4 separate regions of the Mus musculus genome follow, and all the other regions are reported to be linked to region 3. The links are microRNA targets in miRTarBase. Many come from high-throughput screens and were not tested one by one. Region 3 holds a microRNA gene; each other region holds the end of a gene's coding sequence.

Evidence for each region. Region 3 holds the annotated microRNA mmu-miR-1199-5p (UCUGAGUCCCGGUCGCGCGG, at 2,647-2,666, opposite strand). A microRNA usually pairs through its seed, bases 2 to 8, with sites in the 3' UTR of a target mRNA and lowers its output. Matches are read on the target gene's strand: a 7mer-m8 pairs with bases 2 to 8, a 7mer-A1 pairs with bases 2 to 7 and ends in A, and an 8mer does both.
Region 1: the mRNA of Ubac1 is a reported target of mmu-miR-1199-5p. Seed matches in the 3' UTR shown: 7mer-A1 at 1,088-1,094 and 7mer-A1 at 2,450-2,456.
Region 2: the mRNA of Mrpl35 is a reported target of mmu-miR-1199-5p. Seed matches in the 3' UTR shown: 7mer-A1 at 2,192-2,198 and 7mer-A1 at 1,636-1,642.
Region 4: miRTarBase lists Mmachc as a target of mmu-miR-1199-5p. Seed matches in the 3' UTR shown: 7mer-A1 at 3,229-3,235.

Annotation. Positions count from the first base shown.
Region 1 is chr2:25,995,404-25,999,464 of GRCm38, reverse strand. Ubac1 (ubiquitin associated domain containing 1) reads left to right here. Exons shown (of 10, transcript NM_133835.2): 10 at 398-2,507. The coding sequence ends at 513. Among named protein-coding and RNA genes, the nearest start is that of Camsap1, 14 kb to the right of the region's middle.
Region 2 is chr6:71,812,421-71,816,481 of GRCm38, forward strand. It overlaps Mrpl35 (mitochondrial ribosomal protein L35), which reads right to left. Exons shown (of 4, transcript NM_025430.3): 4 at 577-3,867. The coding sequence ends at 3,679. Among named protein-coding and RNA genes, the nearest start is that of Mrpl35, 9.3 kb to the right of the region's middle.
Region 3 is chr8:84,008,948-84,013,012 of GRCm38, forward strand. It overlaps Mir1199 (microRNA 1199), which reads right to left and starts at 2,686; the gene lies at 2,568-2,686. It overlaps Misp3 (MISP family member 3), which reads right to left and starts at 2,773. Exons shown (of 3, transcript NM_001291292.1): 1 at 2,194-2,773; 2 at 1,764-1,825; 3 at 1,281-1,545. The coding sequence starts at 2,737. The coding sequence ends at 1,531.
Region 4 is chr4:116,699,784-116,703,844 of GRCm38, forward strand. It overlaps Mmachc (methylmalonic aciduria cblC type, with homocystinuria), which reads right to left. Exons shown (of 4, transcript NM_025962.3): 4 at 2,651-4,061. The coding sequence ends at 3,674. It overlaps Prdx1 (peroxiredoxin 1), which reads left to right. Exons shown (of 6, transcript NM_011034.4): 6 at 1-217. Among named protein-coding and RNA genes, the nearest start is that of Mmachc, 6.6 kb to the right of the region's middle.

The DNA.
Region 1 (4,061 bases), not on the chromosome of region 3:
ATGGCTGTTTCCTGTGGTGTGTGGAAAGGGGTATTTGCAAACCTGACTTTTGGGTCTGCTGGTAGCTTTCCAGAGTTGGAATGCCATGAGTCCAGGCTGTTGACTACCCCACTTGTGGACTGTGATCTGGAATACTGTGAGCACACAGGCAGTCCATTGCTCTGTAAAAGATGTAAGCATGGGCAGCTGACCACCTTACCCTGCTGATGGCTCTGAGTTGGGGGTGCTGTGATCTCACAGGCAGTCTGCTTCCCTGCCAACAGCCTCTGAAGTCTTTTTGGTCAGTAGCTCAGGCACTATGGTTGGCTCGTAAGGGTGAGTGTCAGGGCCATTGAGAAAGGCTCAGTATGCTTGTTGGTGTTGGGTGCTACCACTCAGCTCTGTCGTCTTCCCACAGCATTTGAAGACATGCTGGAGAATCCGCTTAACAGCACCCAGTGGATGAACGACCCAGAGACGGGCCCGGTCATGCTGCAGATCTCTAGGATCTTCCAGACGCTGAATCGCACGTAGGTGGTACCTACTGTGCTCCTTGGCTGTGCAGTCTCAGCAGTCTGTGAGGCAGTGGGCACAGGGTTCAGCCGGGATCTTGCCTGGACCACAGCTTCTCGGACTCTCCTTTCCAGACCTAACAGCTTATCAACTTCTGCCACATGGCTTGAAAGTTGCAGTCCTAGCTTCTGACAGGTGTCTACAGAAAGTGGCTGTTGCATTGGGAAGGTGAATGATTGCTGCCCGTCCCTCCAGATACTCTGCTGGGCTCCTGAAGTGCTACTTGAATTGACCCTTAGGTGTTTGCTTGTGGAGCCCAATGTATTTAAAAGAAGGCATGTTCTGATCCAAAGTGTTATGTCAAGTGTGCTAATTTAACCAGACTGACTCACAGATGGCTTCTTTAATAAATAAACCCTTTTCCTATTTTTACTTGTGTTACTTCATGGCAGCAAGGACATCACATGTATCCCCTAGGCCGTGTACACATTGTCTCTGCCCAGAGCAGGTGTCATTGCCACTTCTTTCTAGATACTATTTCTCTGTGTAGCCCTGGATGTCCTAAAAATCACTCTGTAAACCAGGCTGCCCTTGAACTCAGAAATCTGCCTCCTGAGCGCTGGGATTAAAGGCGCGTGCCACCACCTCTCAGCTTTCATGGCTACTTCTTCACTTGGAAACCTGAATCCTCTGAGCCCAGCTCAAGTTGGGTTTGGGGCTGTGACATTTCAAGTAGCAGGCCTTCCCCCCAGCCACAGCAGATGGAGCAGGGTGTGTGTGTGTGTGTGTGTACACTCACAGGTGCATGTACTCATGTGTACCTTGTGCCAGAACACAAACGTGGGGATCACACCTGCCCTACTCAGGAGTTGGTTCTTTCCTTCCACCATGGTCCCGGGGATCAAGCCCAGCTCATCAGGTTCCTGCAGCAAGGACTTAAAAAAACAAACACTCTTCTGACTCATCTTGCTGGCTCATGATCTAGTCCCCTTTCTGTGACCCCTGCTCAGGGTTACTGTAAAAAGCATTTAGCTCTTGAGTGTGTTTAAGCATGTCTGAGAAGCTGCAGCATAGGTGAGGTATAGGAATAGCTACAGCCTTGGCTGGCACTCACCCTGCTGGAGCTGAGCCAGAAGACTCTAACATGGAAAAGGAGCTCAGCGGCTGGAGTGTTCGCTGTACAAGCAAGGGGACCTGAGTTCACATCCCAGCACCAGGTAAAAAGCCAGGCATGGCAGCACACAGCTGTAATTCCAGCATTTGGAGATGGTAAGTGGAGTTTCGATCCTGGGGGGTTAACAAGATAAGCTGGAAAGTGATAGAAGACATTAGACACTGACTCTGGCATGTGTGTGCAAGCACACATATAACAAAGACTATGACGGGATCTGCCTGTCTTCCTAGTGCGTTGAAGAGTCATGGTTCAGAATCTCCGAGGGAGGGTGGAGAGATGACTCGTCACTTAAGACCACTTGCTGTTCAAGTTTAAGTCCCAGGATCCACATTGGATGGCTCACAACCGCTTGTCTGACTCCAACCCCAGCTCCAGGAAAGCCGATTTCCTCTTGTAGCCTCTGTACACACATCCAAACAAAAATAAAGATCTTCACAGAACTTCAAGGAACCATCTCTATGGGCTCTGGAGGCCATGGGGAGTGTTCTGTACTTGGGGATAGGTCCTGATGCTGGTCTTTTGTCCAGGATCTGTGTGTGTGTGGTGTGTGTGTGTTCTGCAACACTAGTATCCTCTGAGACAAGCATTGTGTTCATGTAATAAAGGAGCTAACACAAACTGGCTCTGAAAAGGGGTCTTCGTTTGGAAAGAATAGATTTCCTGCTCTGGCTGTTTGGGTTTTTTTCATGTTTTGTTTGTTTTGTTTTTCAAGACAGGTTTGTGTGTGTGTGTATGTAGCCCTGGCTGTCCTGGAACTCACTCTGTAGACCAGGCTGGCCTTGAACTCAGAAATTCACCTGCCTTTGCCTCCTAAGTGCTGTAATTAAATCCGTGTGCCACCACTGCCTGACTGCTTTTGGCTGTTCTTACAGTTGTGTTTCCTCTGCTAGCGTGTGCCTTCTGTGGCCCACTTTTAGCCTGAGGTTGCAAATGTACTTTCTTTAATTCCAACCACTAGTAAGCATAGAACAGTGTTTCAGTTGGGTTGTAGTTCTTAGACATTAAAAAGAATCTTTAATTGCTTATGGTGTGTTTGAGAGAGTGTGAGCTACCATGATATATGAAGATTGGAGGATACTTTGTGAGGTATCTAACTCAGGTCATCAGACTCACATGCAATTTTACTTGCTGAACCAACCCCCCACCCCCCAGCTCTGCGCCACTGTGGAGTTCGGGGAAGAACCATAGTATTGGTAACCATGGCTGCTCTTGGGCCTCAGAGAGTAACTACCTTAGTGCCAAATTTCCACTCCTGCTTTGGCCATCAGGGAGAGCACAGCATCTCTGTGTTGCCTGATATTTAATACACAGTCTCTGTGGAGCCTTTTGGGTGAACACTGTATGGCAGTCATTGTTTAGGGCTGATGTTTCATGACTAGCAAAGCATGAATTTATCATTTTACAATGAAAGCTGGGATGCAGAGAGAGGAAGGACATCTGTGCCTTGACCTGCTTTACGCTATTGATGACCAAGTGACTTCTCAGCCAGTTGGGGTAGGTTGTGTGCCTCTGAGTTGTATCTGTTGGCCATGAGGTATGGACATAGGTCCAGTGACATTGAAGCCTGACAGAACAGTTGGCCTGGAACATTCGTTCTATTGAACACAGGGTAGTGTGTCATTTCAACTTCTGTATGTCCGTGTCCAATAGGGAATGTGAATAGGTCTCTGTGCAGATCCACAGGTGACACTTGTCCCTGGGGACAAAAGGGAGCTCTTGTGGATATAGGAAGGCCTTGGGGTCCATGGCCCACAGCCCTCTTGGGGGGCAGGACCTGTGCTGAGATCCTACATTCAGGCCTGGTGGGCCGAAGGGGTGGTGAGAAAACTTAATGGAATGGCTGGAAGGTAGCTTCAAGCATGGGGCCTACAGCAGCTAGAGATCCTGTTCCCAGAGTTTACTTTCCAAACCTTCACACTGGGCCTGAGTATGGCTGTAATGAGAGCTGAGGAGACCAATGGTTTATTGTGAAATACGTGAATGGCATGTTTCTAACTGGCATGTTTCTAACTGGCCTTAAGACTCCCAGGTATATTTGGGGTTGAACTCTGCACATTTAGACTAAGTCTATATCTTAGACTATAGTCTGAGATGCATGCCAAGGGGCAGTTAAGGAAGTGGATACAACACTCAAGAGCTGGTCATATAGAGAGATTTCTCAGGGTAGCTGTGGATTGTGGGCCAGGAATAGGGTGTGTGGGAAAGTGTGGGAAGGTGTACATAGTACCCAGAAGCAACACATGAACTACATACTCCTTTGTCAGCTGACCTGTTGGCTTTCTACCCTTGCTAGACCCTTGCCATCTTTACCTGGGATGCTTTGTTGTCCATGCACACCCTGTGACTACAACATGGTGATTTTGGGACTGGTTCTTTGGGATCTTGTCTCCTGCTT
Region 2 (4,061 bases), not on the chromosome of region 3:
AGTTCACTGGTGGGCAGTTTTATTTGTATGGGCAGAACTGGGTAGCAGTTTTCTTCCTGAGTTTTTCTTCACTTGCAGATGGGGGATTGCCTATGCAGGTTAGAACAGGCTTGTGTATGTGCAGAGCCACTGTGGATGGTAAAAATGCCCATAGCACTTCTGCATCCCTTGCCTTGAAACTATGAGCACCAGGCACCAGGGCCATCGCTATCATAGTGTCATAGAGAATGCACAAGGTACTGGGTTCTGTCTCCAGCACTGCATAAACAGGATGTGATATAACATGACTTTCATCCATCCATCCCAGCATCCAGAGGTAGGGACAAGAGGATCAGAAATTCAAGGTCATCCTCAGTTACACATCAATTTGAGGCCAGCTGGGGCTAATTGAGACTCTATCTCAAAAACCAACCAACCAACAGTAAGGCAGCAGGCTCACTCTAGCCTCACTGGGAGGTCACAAAGACCTTCAAGTGTGGTCGGTTCTCTTGTTTTTACAGTACACAGACTAGAAACTAAAGCAGCAGATTCAGAGGGCAGAAAACAGGAAGAAGAGATGGGAAGAAAGACTAGAAATCCATTCATTCATTACTCATTTACTAAGCCAGGGTTATGCACCAACAGAGTTGACAGGTAGAGAGCAAAGTCACACAACTCAGACTTGAACGGGTAGAGTATTTACTACTAGTGTCAGATCACAGTCATTTGTTGATCAAGATATGAGTATCCTATGTTGTTAGAAAATCAAAGGAAGTACACAAGATTCCAAAGAGTTAGACAGGGGATCTGGGATGCATTAGCTATATTTTAGAGTAATTTATTTCAGCTTCTATAAGCTTTAGTGCCTTCAATTTATATCAGGGATAAATGATAGCTCGTGTATAAGATTGTATAAGGTTGGCATGAGGTGCAGCAGAGTTTTGCAGATTTGCTTAAATATGACAAGTGTTCAATAAATTACATGTAAATAAACAGTTATGCATACACTTGAACATCATTTAGGCAGGCTCTAAAGCAAACTGCTTTGTTGTCAAACTAAAAACTTGGCTTTGATGAAAGGCTCCCCTACCCACATACAAAAGCTGTATGTATGAAGAAGTTCCCTTTCCATCCGAGGTGTGCCTGCAGCCCTTCTACTTCAGCCTGTGGCCGCTGTCCTCTGCCTAGCCTGTCCTTGGCTACAGGGGAAGCCAAGGCACTGAGGCCATGTAACAGAGATCTGAACCATCCATGTCGACTCTAGAAAAGTCTAAGGCTGTGCAGTGTCTCCCTCCTTAGCTTCAGCACAGTGCCACAGATGTGCGGGAAGCAGGAACTGTGCAGGCGAGGAACCTCGAAAGCCTCACAGCACTCAGCTTCTGCCGCCTCAGGGGTGAGCACAGCACGAGCCACCGGGGCAGAGCCATTGGTGTATGAGGTGCTCAAGTCACACGCCTGCTCTCTATCACCTGCCCCCACACATACACACATACACACATATGGGGTTTTACGACATTCTACATCCCTCTCCATTTAATGAAGAACTGGCTTCAAATGGATAAATTAAAAAAAAATTAAAAAAAAAACAAACCTAAGCTGGGCAGTGGTGGCACACGCCTTTAATCCCAGCACTCGGGAGGCAGAGGCAGGCGGATTTCTGAGTTCGAAGCCAGCCTGGTCTACAAAGTGAGTTCCAGGACAGCCAGGGCTACACAGAGAAACCCTGTCTCGAAAAACAAAACAAAACAAAACAAAGCAAAACAAAACAAAACAAAACAAAAACTGAATGGTCCTCAAAGTCCTGGCCTACCTGCCATCAAAACACCAACTGATTGCCTTATTCTACTAAATGGGGGACTTCATGTTATCATCAATGGATTTCAAACAGTCATTCATCCTTAATAGAATTTTCAATGAGGCAGGCTGCTTTGTTTGGAAATGCTTCCAGATGGTTCTGATGGGAGAGCAGAGAGTCACTCTCTCGGCCTGCAGCATCAATTCTGACTCTCTGTAAACCACGTGTAACTTTTGCATCTTTCTCCATCTGACTACTAACAGGCCCGACCTGACCCTACTTAGCTTCTGAGATCAGACAAAGTCATGTGCATTCAGGATGGAATGGCCAGACTCTTTTCTAAAATGAATGATACTAGCTGGGCGTGGTGGCCCACGCCTTTAATCCCAGCACTCAGGAGGCAGAGGCAGGCTGATTTCTGAGTTCGAGGCCAGCCTGGTCTACAAAGAGTTCCAGGACAGCCAGAGAAACCCTGTCTTGAAAAAACAAACAAACAAACAAACAAAAAGATAAAATGAATGATACTGTTGCCTTCTGAGCACAGCTGACATCAGTCTCATTAAATGACAGGCAACTTTCTCCCTTAGTTTCCACCCTGCGTTTTAGAGAATTCTGGAAAAAAAAAGCTGATCTTTACCAATGAAAATAAGAAATCTTAAGTGGATAAACTTTTTAAAAATTCAGTGCCTTTGAAAAATTGGGCAGAGGCCTGGAGAGACAGTTCAGCATTTAAGAACTGGCTGTTCTTGTAGAGGGCCCAGGTTCAATTCCCAGCACCAACATGGTGGCTCACAACCATCTGTAATTCCAATGCCAGTAGACCCAACAACTTTCCTCTGGCCTTCAAGGGCACATACACACATGCAGACAAAATACTCATATGTAAAAAATAAAAAGTAAAGTAGAAAAGAAAAACTGGGCAAAAGAGTTTATTATATAGCTATGTATTTCAAGAAGGGTATTTGGGAAGGTGATTTATTTTTATGAAAAGTATCCTGTTACAATAAAATTAGTAATAACTGTCATAAATACAAAGAACCCAGGACACAAGATGAAAGTGCCCTGCTACTCTATGTACCTCTAAGGAAAACAGCTCACACCTACCTTTTTACTCCATATGAACCTACTGATACAACTAAGAGAGCCTGGGTGGAGTCCTAGCCACAAACAGATAAGCTCTACATTGCATGATGGCATTGATTCAGACTTACGAGGAAAAGGCAGGATGGCCCAATGAGAGTTCCCTGGCAATTAAGAGAGAAGAGATGACAAGAGTTGAGGGTTGTAATGTTAAAGGGAACCCAAAGGTTCAGGCTGAAGGGAGTCTGAGAGATAGAAACTTTACATAAACAAAAGCCAAGACTAAAGAGAGTGATGGTGAGTAGACACACACACACACACACACACCACACACTCTCACAGTAGAACCAAGGCATAAAGTCCCACCATCTCTTGCTTCATCCAATTCCTGCCCTCCCCAAAGCTGGGGCAGAGAGTTACAGGTAGGAGACAGTGAGGAGGTTCCTGAGTTCCTAGGTATTTATTTTTTAAACACAGCATGTGTCATATTGGGAATAGGCATGTAAGATGTCTGTTTAGCATGTGCAAAAACCTGGATACCATCTCAATTCCACACAAAGGCCCACTGTTGAGCGTCTTTTCGTGTTTTTCCTCATCCAAGATTCCAGAAATAAGGAAAGCCATTACCAGTTTTTTGAAATAATGCACAATAAATTTAACTTTTAGTTCTATGACCAACTCTGGGAATGTTTAATGCACAATGGTGGTAATCTAAGCTTGCCGATCAGCTGGTACAGTTTACAGTTTAACGCATACTCACTTTGCAAGGGCATTATGTACACAAAGACCCACATTCCATAGCTGGGAACTATGATAGCTCTGAACTATACTCGTAGGTTTGTTCGATCGTGGTACATCTGGTAAGGATCGCCAGCGTACCAGTTGCGCCTCTTCCAGAAAGATGTCGTCATTTTATCCAGGAGTTTACTCTGGGTCTTGCTGCAGAACACAAATTCCCTCAAGCGCTTCTTTCTTGCAGTTGACTTTTTCCATAATTTTTTCTTATAGCCAGCCTATGAGATAATGTTCCAAAGACATTTTAAAACTTGCAAAGGCAGCAGCAGATGCTCCATAATTTATGGTATATAGGCCCAAAGAGCAAAGCCAGACCTACAGAGATTGGGTTGTTTCTCTTTGCAATAAGTAACAGGTTAAAAAGCATGTGTAGAAGAGGATTAATAATTTAACACTTTAGAAAGATTATTTA
Region 3 (4,065 bases):
CTCCAGCTCTAGGGGGATCTAACAGTCTCTCTGGACTCTGAGGGCATCTGTATATCTGCACTCTCATGTACATACCCCAACAAACACACACCTATAATTAAAAATAAAGAGAGGTTGCTTGGCAGCTAAGAGTACTTTAGGAGGATCATGGTTCAGTTCTCAGCACTCACATGGAACTCTAGTTCCAAGGGATCTGACTCTCTTCTCACCTCTGCAGGCCCACACATACACATAGGCACACACATATACACACAGGCACACACACATACACACAGGCACACACACACATACAAGCCAACAAAACACTTATACATACAGCATGAATACAAAAAATAAATCTTTTAAAACTTTCTAGGTCACCCTCGACCACAAAGGGAATTTCAGGCCAATATGGGATATACGAAGCCACGGTTTTATCTTTTTTTTTTTTTTTTTTTGGTTTTTCGAGACAGGGTTTCTCTTTATAGCCCTGGCTGTTCTGGAACTCACTTTGTAGACCAGGCTGGCCTCGAACTCAGAAATCCACCTGCCTCTGCCTCCCGAGTGCTGGGATTAAAGGCGTGCGCCACCACGCCCGGCCTTTTTTCTATCTTTTTTTTTTTTTTTTTAAGCCACGGTTTTAAAAGAAACAAGCAAAGATGGTCACCAGAACACTTGCCAGGTCCTTGATCCTTCAACACCACCATTGGTATTTCTTTTTTTAAAATTATCCTTATTTCAATTTATGTGAATATGTGTGCATTTTGTGCGAATGGGTGCCATGTATGTTGAGATTTTCCTGGAGGAGAGAAGTGGACAATGGCTCTCCTGGACATAAGCAGTTGTGAGCCTCCCATGTAGATGCCCGGAACTGAACTCGGGTCATTTGCAAGAATAGCAAGCACTCCTTACCCTAAACCATCCCTCCAGCCACCCCTAGTATGTTTACACTATTGTTTATATCCCTAGAGCAGGAAATACAACTTCATAGCACCTCGGTCTAGCAGCTCCCTGAACACAGAATGGTTTTGGTGCCTATAAAAACTGACATCTGGATACCAGAGTGGAGTCTGTGGGCCGGTGAGCAACATTTTGCGTTCTCACCACCAGGGGGCAGTAGGGCCCTGGCCTCCAAGCCCGGGTCCGCAGTCAGTCCAGAACAAGGAGACCAGAGCGCGTTTTGAATTCCAACATTCCGGCGGGATCCTTGGGTGGCTTTTCCAAACGTTCTTCACCTGCCAGCCTCCGCCCACCCAGACTAAGGAGGACCCAGTAGAAAATAGCTTGCACTGAAGCCCAGGTAAAGGGAGGAGGAGTTTATTTTATGTTTCACTCATAGGTTTTGCAGGGTTTCCAAGGAAGACTAGAGAATTTTATGGAGAAAGGTGGTTAATTCCATAGTCAGTATCAAAGATGGGCTGGATTTCAAGTTGCCATTAAAGAAAGCTAGCCCTTCCCTCTCTAGGCCTTCTGCTGATCTGGAGAGTAACCCTACCCTGGTTCTCCAAAGGGTATGTTACTTCTGTCCGCAGGTCCCAACCTTCATAGACCTCAGGGTCTGCGCTCCTAGAAGGAAAAGGGGAAGAGAAAGAACACCCTCAGGGAGAAGTTTGGCCTCTAGGCCTCCACCTCCTCTTCACTCTCTGGATCGCGTCTAGGACTTTTGAGTTTGGGTTAGAGTGGCGCTCCAGGGGACCAAGAGGCACCTTCTCCCTCCACCCCAGTGCCCAGGTGCTGCAGGGAGGGCTGGGAGACCGACAAGCATCGGAAAGGGAGTCTCCCACCTTCTCAGAGGCCCGTCTCCGCGGAGGCCAGATCACCGACAATTTTCCATCTCCCCTGCTCGCTGTGGGGGAAGGAACACTCAGCCGCGACTGCCCCTCCTCTTGCCAGCTGGAGGATGGCCGCACCCCTTATATACATACAGGTGTGCACCCCTCTTCCCCATGAAGGCCTCCACCCAGTTCTGAGGACCCAGGAACAGGAATGAGGCAAACTCAATGTAGAGAGGCACCCGAGTACTACAGAGGACCCGAGAACGCCAGAAGTCAAGGTTCCAAGGTCTGATGGATGTGGGGATCCTCACTCCAGGAGTGGGAGTGAAGAAAAGAAGGTGAACCCCCAGGAGAATAGTTAAGGGTCTGCAAGCCTACAGATGAATGATCACTGGAGGTGGAGACAGCTGGAGCTCTAGGGCCCAGGGGGACCGCTTACGGGTGAGGCTCGGCGCTGGCTCCTGGACCTCGGCGTCGCCGTAGATGCTGCGCCGCTGCAACTGCAGCTCCCGCTCGCGCTCGCGCACTCGTCGCACCTCCTGCTCCAGCAGTGACGGGGCAACGAGCGGTGGCAACTGCCCCAGTACCGGACAGCCGTCCTGAACGGCGGGGTGCAGCCGGCCTCCGGTCTCTGGCTGCCTCTGCAAGCCAGCGCCGTCCTCCGCCGCAGCCTCAAAGAAGCGCTTGAGTTCGTCCAGCGGCTGCGGCCGCCGCCGGGCGCTAGGCTCCGGAACCGCGGGGCTCGCCAGCGCCGCCTGCCTGTGAGCCTCGCGTTCGATGTCCCGTTGCATCTTCGCGCCCGCCCGAGCGCGCTCCAGGGCGCGCGGCAGCGGAGTACCGGAGCCGGGCCGACTGAGCACCGGCCGCACGCGCAACTCAATGAGTTCCTCGCCCGCGCGACCGGGACTCAGACCCCGGCTCCGGCGCAGGCTTTCCTCCCGCTCGCAGCTGCGGCGGATTTCGCGCTGGATGGGCGTCTCCATCTGCAATTCCGCCGGCGCCGGTTTGGATGCCGCGGGCTTCGGTAGAAAACACACCTGGAGGCCTCTGAGCCGAGACAGGGGCACAACTGCCCCAGTACCTCCGTTATACTAGTGCCAGGCGGCCCAGCTGTGGACCGCCCGGGCGCTCGGTCCGGTGCTCAACTGGCACCTGCGGGACCTGGCTCTCTGGCTCCAGAGTCTGCAAGTGCTCCTCTCCAGAGGTTTCCAGGACCTCACTGCCTCCCCCAGCAGCCCTCGGTGCCCTGGCTCTGCGGCTCCCGGAACACGTAGCCTTCAGGCGACCCCAGGACTCCACTCTCGGACACCCGAGGACATGGATGTTTGGAGTTAGGCGCCCTTTGAAAATTTTAGTTCTCAGAGCCGAATTGAGATGCCCAAATAGGTAGGACACGGTGCCCTGTGCAGTACCTGTAGTTACAGCCGCCGCCCGAGGTTCATAGGCGTCGCCAGCACTCTTCTTTGACCCGCCTCTGGCCTCCAGGAACATCCCCTGGGGGCAGGACTGGGCACCGCCCCCGTCACCTGCCAGCTGGATTCGAGTGGCCCTGGACCCGCCCTATGGGCCAGGGCGCCTCCACTGCTCTCCGGATTCCCGCCACCTGAACACACGGGTTGACTGAAGGGGTGGCTTCTTCGGAAAGGGCTTCCCTGAACTCACTACCCAGGGGGTATGTGTCGCCCTTTCCCTCTGGTACCACGCTGGCATTCTGGGGTCTTTTTTTTTTTTTTTTTTTTTTTTCATCACTTTCCGGAGACCTGACCTCTAGCGGAGCGCCGCGCTGATCGCTGAACCACGGCCTCCTTACAGAGTGTTTCCCCGGTCGTCTTTCGCTGACCTCACTAGTCTAGGTCAGCAAGTGCCAGCCTGCGGCCAGCGACACCACTCTCCTTCCCCCCGCCCCCTATCCCGTGATCTCCGGGCCTTCTCTGCACACTGATCGCTGAGGCAACACAGCTCGAGTCCAGCCCGAGGGTCGCCCGGGGCCGCCGCACTGGGTGCTGCTGCTACCCGGGGCTGCTCAGCTCTGTCTGGTTTGCAGCGGCGCTGCCGCCACTCAAAACCCTGGGGCAGATTCCCCACCCCCACCTTCCAGAAAAGCCCGCAAGGCATTGGCAGCCAAGTGTCCAGCTAGAATGAGCGGTGTTTGAGGGCACAGACATTACAGGACTTCCGGGCCTCAGCCGAGCAATTGTGGCTGGAAGGCGGTCAGCTTGGACCAGTTTGCCCAGGAGGCCCAAGATGGGGCAGAGGAGCCACCGGGTTAGCGGGAGGCAGTAGCGACCTTTGTCTGGTGCCCGATCTGTGT
Region 4 (4,061 bases), not on the chromosome of region 3:
AACTTGATGTATATGTGAGGCTAGTAAGCTCTCAGGATCTACTTTTCTAGTGCTGGTTTTATAAGCATGGATTACCATAGTTGGCCTTTTGTTTTTCGAGACAGGGTTTCTCTGTGTAACAGCCCTGGCTGTCCTGGAACTCTGTAGACTAGGCTGGCCTCTGAAAGATCTACCTGCCTATTTAATCTGCCAGGAATTAAAAGTGTGTGCCACCACTGTCTGCTTCATGCCTAGCTTTTTTTTTTTTTTTTAAATGGGAGTTCCATGGAGTAAATTGCTTCCTCACAAGCATGTCACAGCTGAACTATCTCCAAAGCCCCTGTTTTTCTTAGAAAATTGGGTTTGAAAGGTTGAAAGGTGCCTCAGGTCTGGAGACAAAGCTTTTGGTAGAGTGCTTGCCTGGTATTCTGTTTTACTTGTTGCTGAACACAGCAACTAAAAAGTATCTGGCTTATACTTCCTGGTCACAGTCATACCTGAGGTAAAGTCAGGGTAGGACTTCAAGGAGGAACTGAAGCAGAAAATGTCCCACAGACCACTCTAATCTTGGAAATGTTTAAATTGAGGTTTCTTCTCCTGGGTGAATGAATAAATGAAAAAAAAATACTGTCAAGTTGACAGAAGTTAACTATTACGTTTAGTGTGCACAAGCCTTGTTATAACCCTATTGCCATGTAAACAAGGTGTGATAGTACACACCTGTAATCTCAGTACTAGTGAACTGAAGGCAAAAGGATCAGAGGTTCACCTGTGTGATGCATTAGGCCTGGTCTTTAAAGGGAAAAAAAGGCTTCAGTACACATACCCACACAGAAGAAAGTTTTTAGTTTAACAATATTTTAGATTGAAAAGCAGACCCAAGCCCTGCTGTCCTCTCAGCCATTGCACTGCAGTTCATGTTTGCTGGGTTATAGGCAAGTCTGGGAAAGATTTATTTGAGCTGTTTAGTGCTGGGAGGGTTGCATGGAACAGAATTTTTGCTTCTTAGGATAAATGCCTAGTGTCTGTCTGCTCTGCAAAATAAATAGGACTTGGCCAATAAGAAGTTCATTGGGTATCTTAGAGTTTTATTGCTGTTAAGAGACTCTGACCATGGCAACTCTAAAAAAGGAGAACATTTAATTGGGGCTGGCTTATAGTCATTATTTAGTCCATTATGGTGAGAAACATGGCACAGTACAGGAAGATATGGTGCTGGCTAAGGAGTTGTGAGTTCTAAGCAGAAAAAGATGTGTGTGCCACACTGGGTGTGGTTTGAGTATAGGACACCTCAAAGCCTGTTCCCACAGTGACACTTCACACCAAGACCACACTTACTGACAGTGCAATTACCTATGGCCGAGCAGTCAAAAACAGTCTAGGGACTGTGCCTACTCAAACCACCACATTAAAGATACTTGCCACATGGTGGAAGAAGAGACAATTGACTCCTTCCTACAAGTTGTCCTCTGACTTCATAAATGCACTGTGATATGCCTCTCTCCCACAAATATGAATGTAATCTAGGAGGAAAAAGGAATGACCACTGGGCCTGTCAAGTTTTAATCTCATAGATGAGTGCTAGATTAGGCTACATGGTAACACTTCGCTTGTTTGTAGACCAGAAGAATGTGTCTGACCTTTTGGGGCTGGAATGAGAAGCAGTTGTGAGCCACCTGATGAGGCAGTCTTAATTGAACTGGGTGCTTACTGAGCTTTGCTGGCCAATAAGCTCCAATAATTGTCCCCTTGTTCCCAGCAACCAAAGTATGGAACATTGGAGTTCTGGGCAGGGCACAGCAAAGTGCTTGAAAAAGTTATTAGGGCTTCTTTTTCCCTTTTGCCACTACATTTTTATATCACGGAATAAGTAACACTAACCTTGGAAATGTTACACCTACCAGTTTTCAGGATGCATTTTTAAGATTTACTATATACATGTTATATACATGTCATGTATACACATGGTCTCCCCGCACATATACCTGCGGGCCAGAAGACAGCACCAGGTCACATCATGTGATTGCTGGGAATCACTCAGGACTTCTACAAGAGTATCCAGTGCCCTTAACCTCTCTCCTTCCTGGGTGTAATTTCTTTCTTTCTTTTTTTTTTTTTTTAATAATTTATTTTAGTTTTTATTAGATATTTTTTTTCCATTTTTTATTAGGTATTTAACTCATTTACATTTCCAATGCTATACCAAAAGTCTCCCATATCCACCCACCCCCACTCCCCTGCCCACCCACTCCCCCTTTTTGGCCCTGGTGTTCCCCTGTACTGGGGCATATAAAGTTTGCAAGTCCAATGGGCCTCTCTTTCCAGTGATGGCCGACTAGGCCATCTTTTGATATATATGCAGCTAGAGTCAAGAGCTCCGGGGTACTGGTTAGTTCATAATGTTGTTCCACCTATAGGGTTGCAGATCCCTTAATACCCTCAGTAGTTTGCTTCTCCCTCCCTGTTGCAGGGTTTGGAGGGCGGGGGTGGATTCCTGTTCAAGGAAACATGATTGAGTCTGAGACTGGTCTGTCTCCTGTTTTAGTTTTCAACAAGTAAAAACAGCACATTACAATTTACCAACTAACCTCCCTGGACCCTGGGAGTGAAATTTGAAATATCAGAATTGGGAAACTATCTCTGGAATCAACAAACAGGCAAACAAAGTTGGTGGCTTTGGATATGATTGTATTCAACTACTTGTATTTTAGCTGTGATGAGAGAATATTCCTTTCTGATCCTGTAAAGTCAGGAAGTTTCTTCTGGATTCTTGGTTAGGGTTGACAAAATAATCCTATGACATCATGTCCTTCCAACATTCCAGAATTCAAAGTACATCTATTTGAGCATAAGTATAAGATTGCCTGAGCCTTTAGTAATAGCACACTGTAGGTCGGGGCAGTTTCAATGTAGTTTACTTAAATATTAATTCAGCATAGCTCAATGTGGTGGGTACCCCTAGGAGCTGCTAAATCTGTGATTCTCAGCCCCCAGGGGTTGTTGAACAACCCTTTCACTGGATTCCCTAAGACAATTGATTCATAACTAGCAAAATTATTAGGTAGCAACAAAAATAATTTTATGGTTGCGGTCACTACAACATGAGGAACTGCATTAAATGATAGCAGCTTTAGGAACGAACAGTGAGAACCATGGTTCTTAAATAGTATCTTAAGAGTACTACACAAAGCCGGGCTTGGTAGTGCACGCCTTTAATCCCAGCACTCGGGAGGCAGAGGCAGGTGGATTTCTGAGTTTGAGGCCAGCCTGGTCAACAGAGTGAGTTCCAGGACAGCCAGGGCTACACAGAGAAACCCTGTCTTGAAAAAACAAAAAACAAAAACAAAAAAATAGTAATGGGCATGAGTCTAATATTTGAAGTCAACTGCTGATTTTTGAGTCTGCCTTGGCATATGATTTATCTTGACCAATGTAAATTGAGTCTTGACTGTCTGAAGCACTATTATCAGGAAATCCTACCTAAAATAAAATGGTTTTTCCACAGTGCAAAAAATCAGCACTCTGGAGAAGACAGAGGCAGATGGATCTCTCTTAGCTTGAGGCCAACCTGGTCTGAGCTACATAGAGGAACCTTGTCTCAAAAAAACTAAAAAAGGAGAAAGTGTTTTTTTCAAAACCCAAATCCTACTTAAAATAAATCTACTATGAGTGGGATCCTGAAGGGGAAAAGTTATCAAGGGCCTGGGGATACAGGTGGTGAGACACTTGGACTCAGCCAGCTTCGAGCTCTCCTGGAATTCTGAGGTTTAGTAAGCAAGGAAAGAGGAAGCTCAGATGTAGTGCTAGGGTGTTCTGAGGGTTGGGCTAAGCCTAATAGGGCCAAGCGTTGGGCAGGTGGGGTGGAAAAGTAGATCTTCTGTTCTTCGGAGTACCGTTCTTCAGGAGTCACAGCATCACGGTAAGTCCAGTCCCGCCAATGGAAATTGAAACCTTCAAGCAGAGTGATGCGGCCAGCTCTTGTAGGCACACAGTCAGGGGGCTTTCTGGGTGGCAAATTTGGCACTTCAATCCCTGGCAGCAACATAACCCCTCGGATGGCAAACCAGCCCCCAAATCGGGGG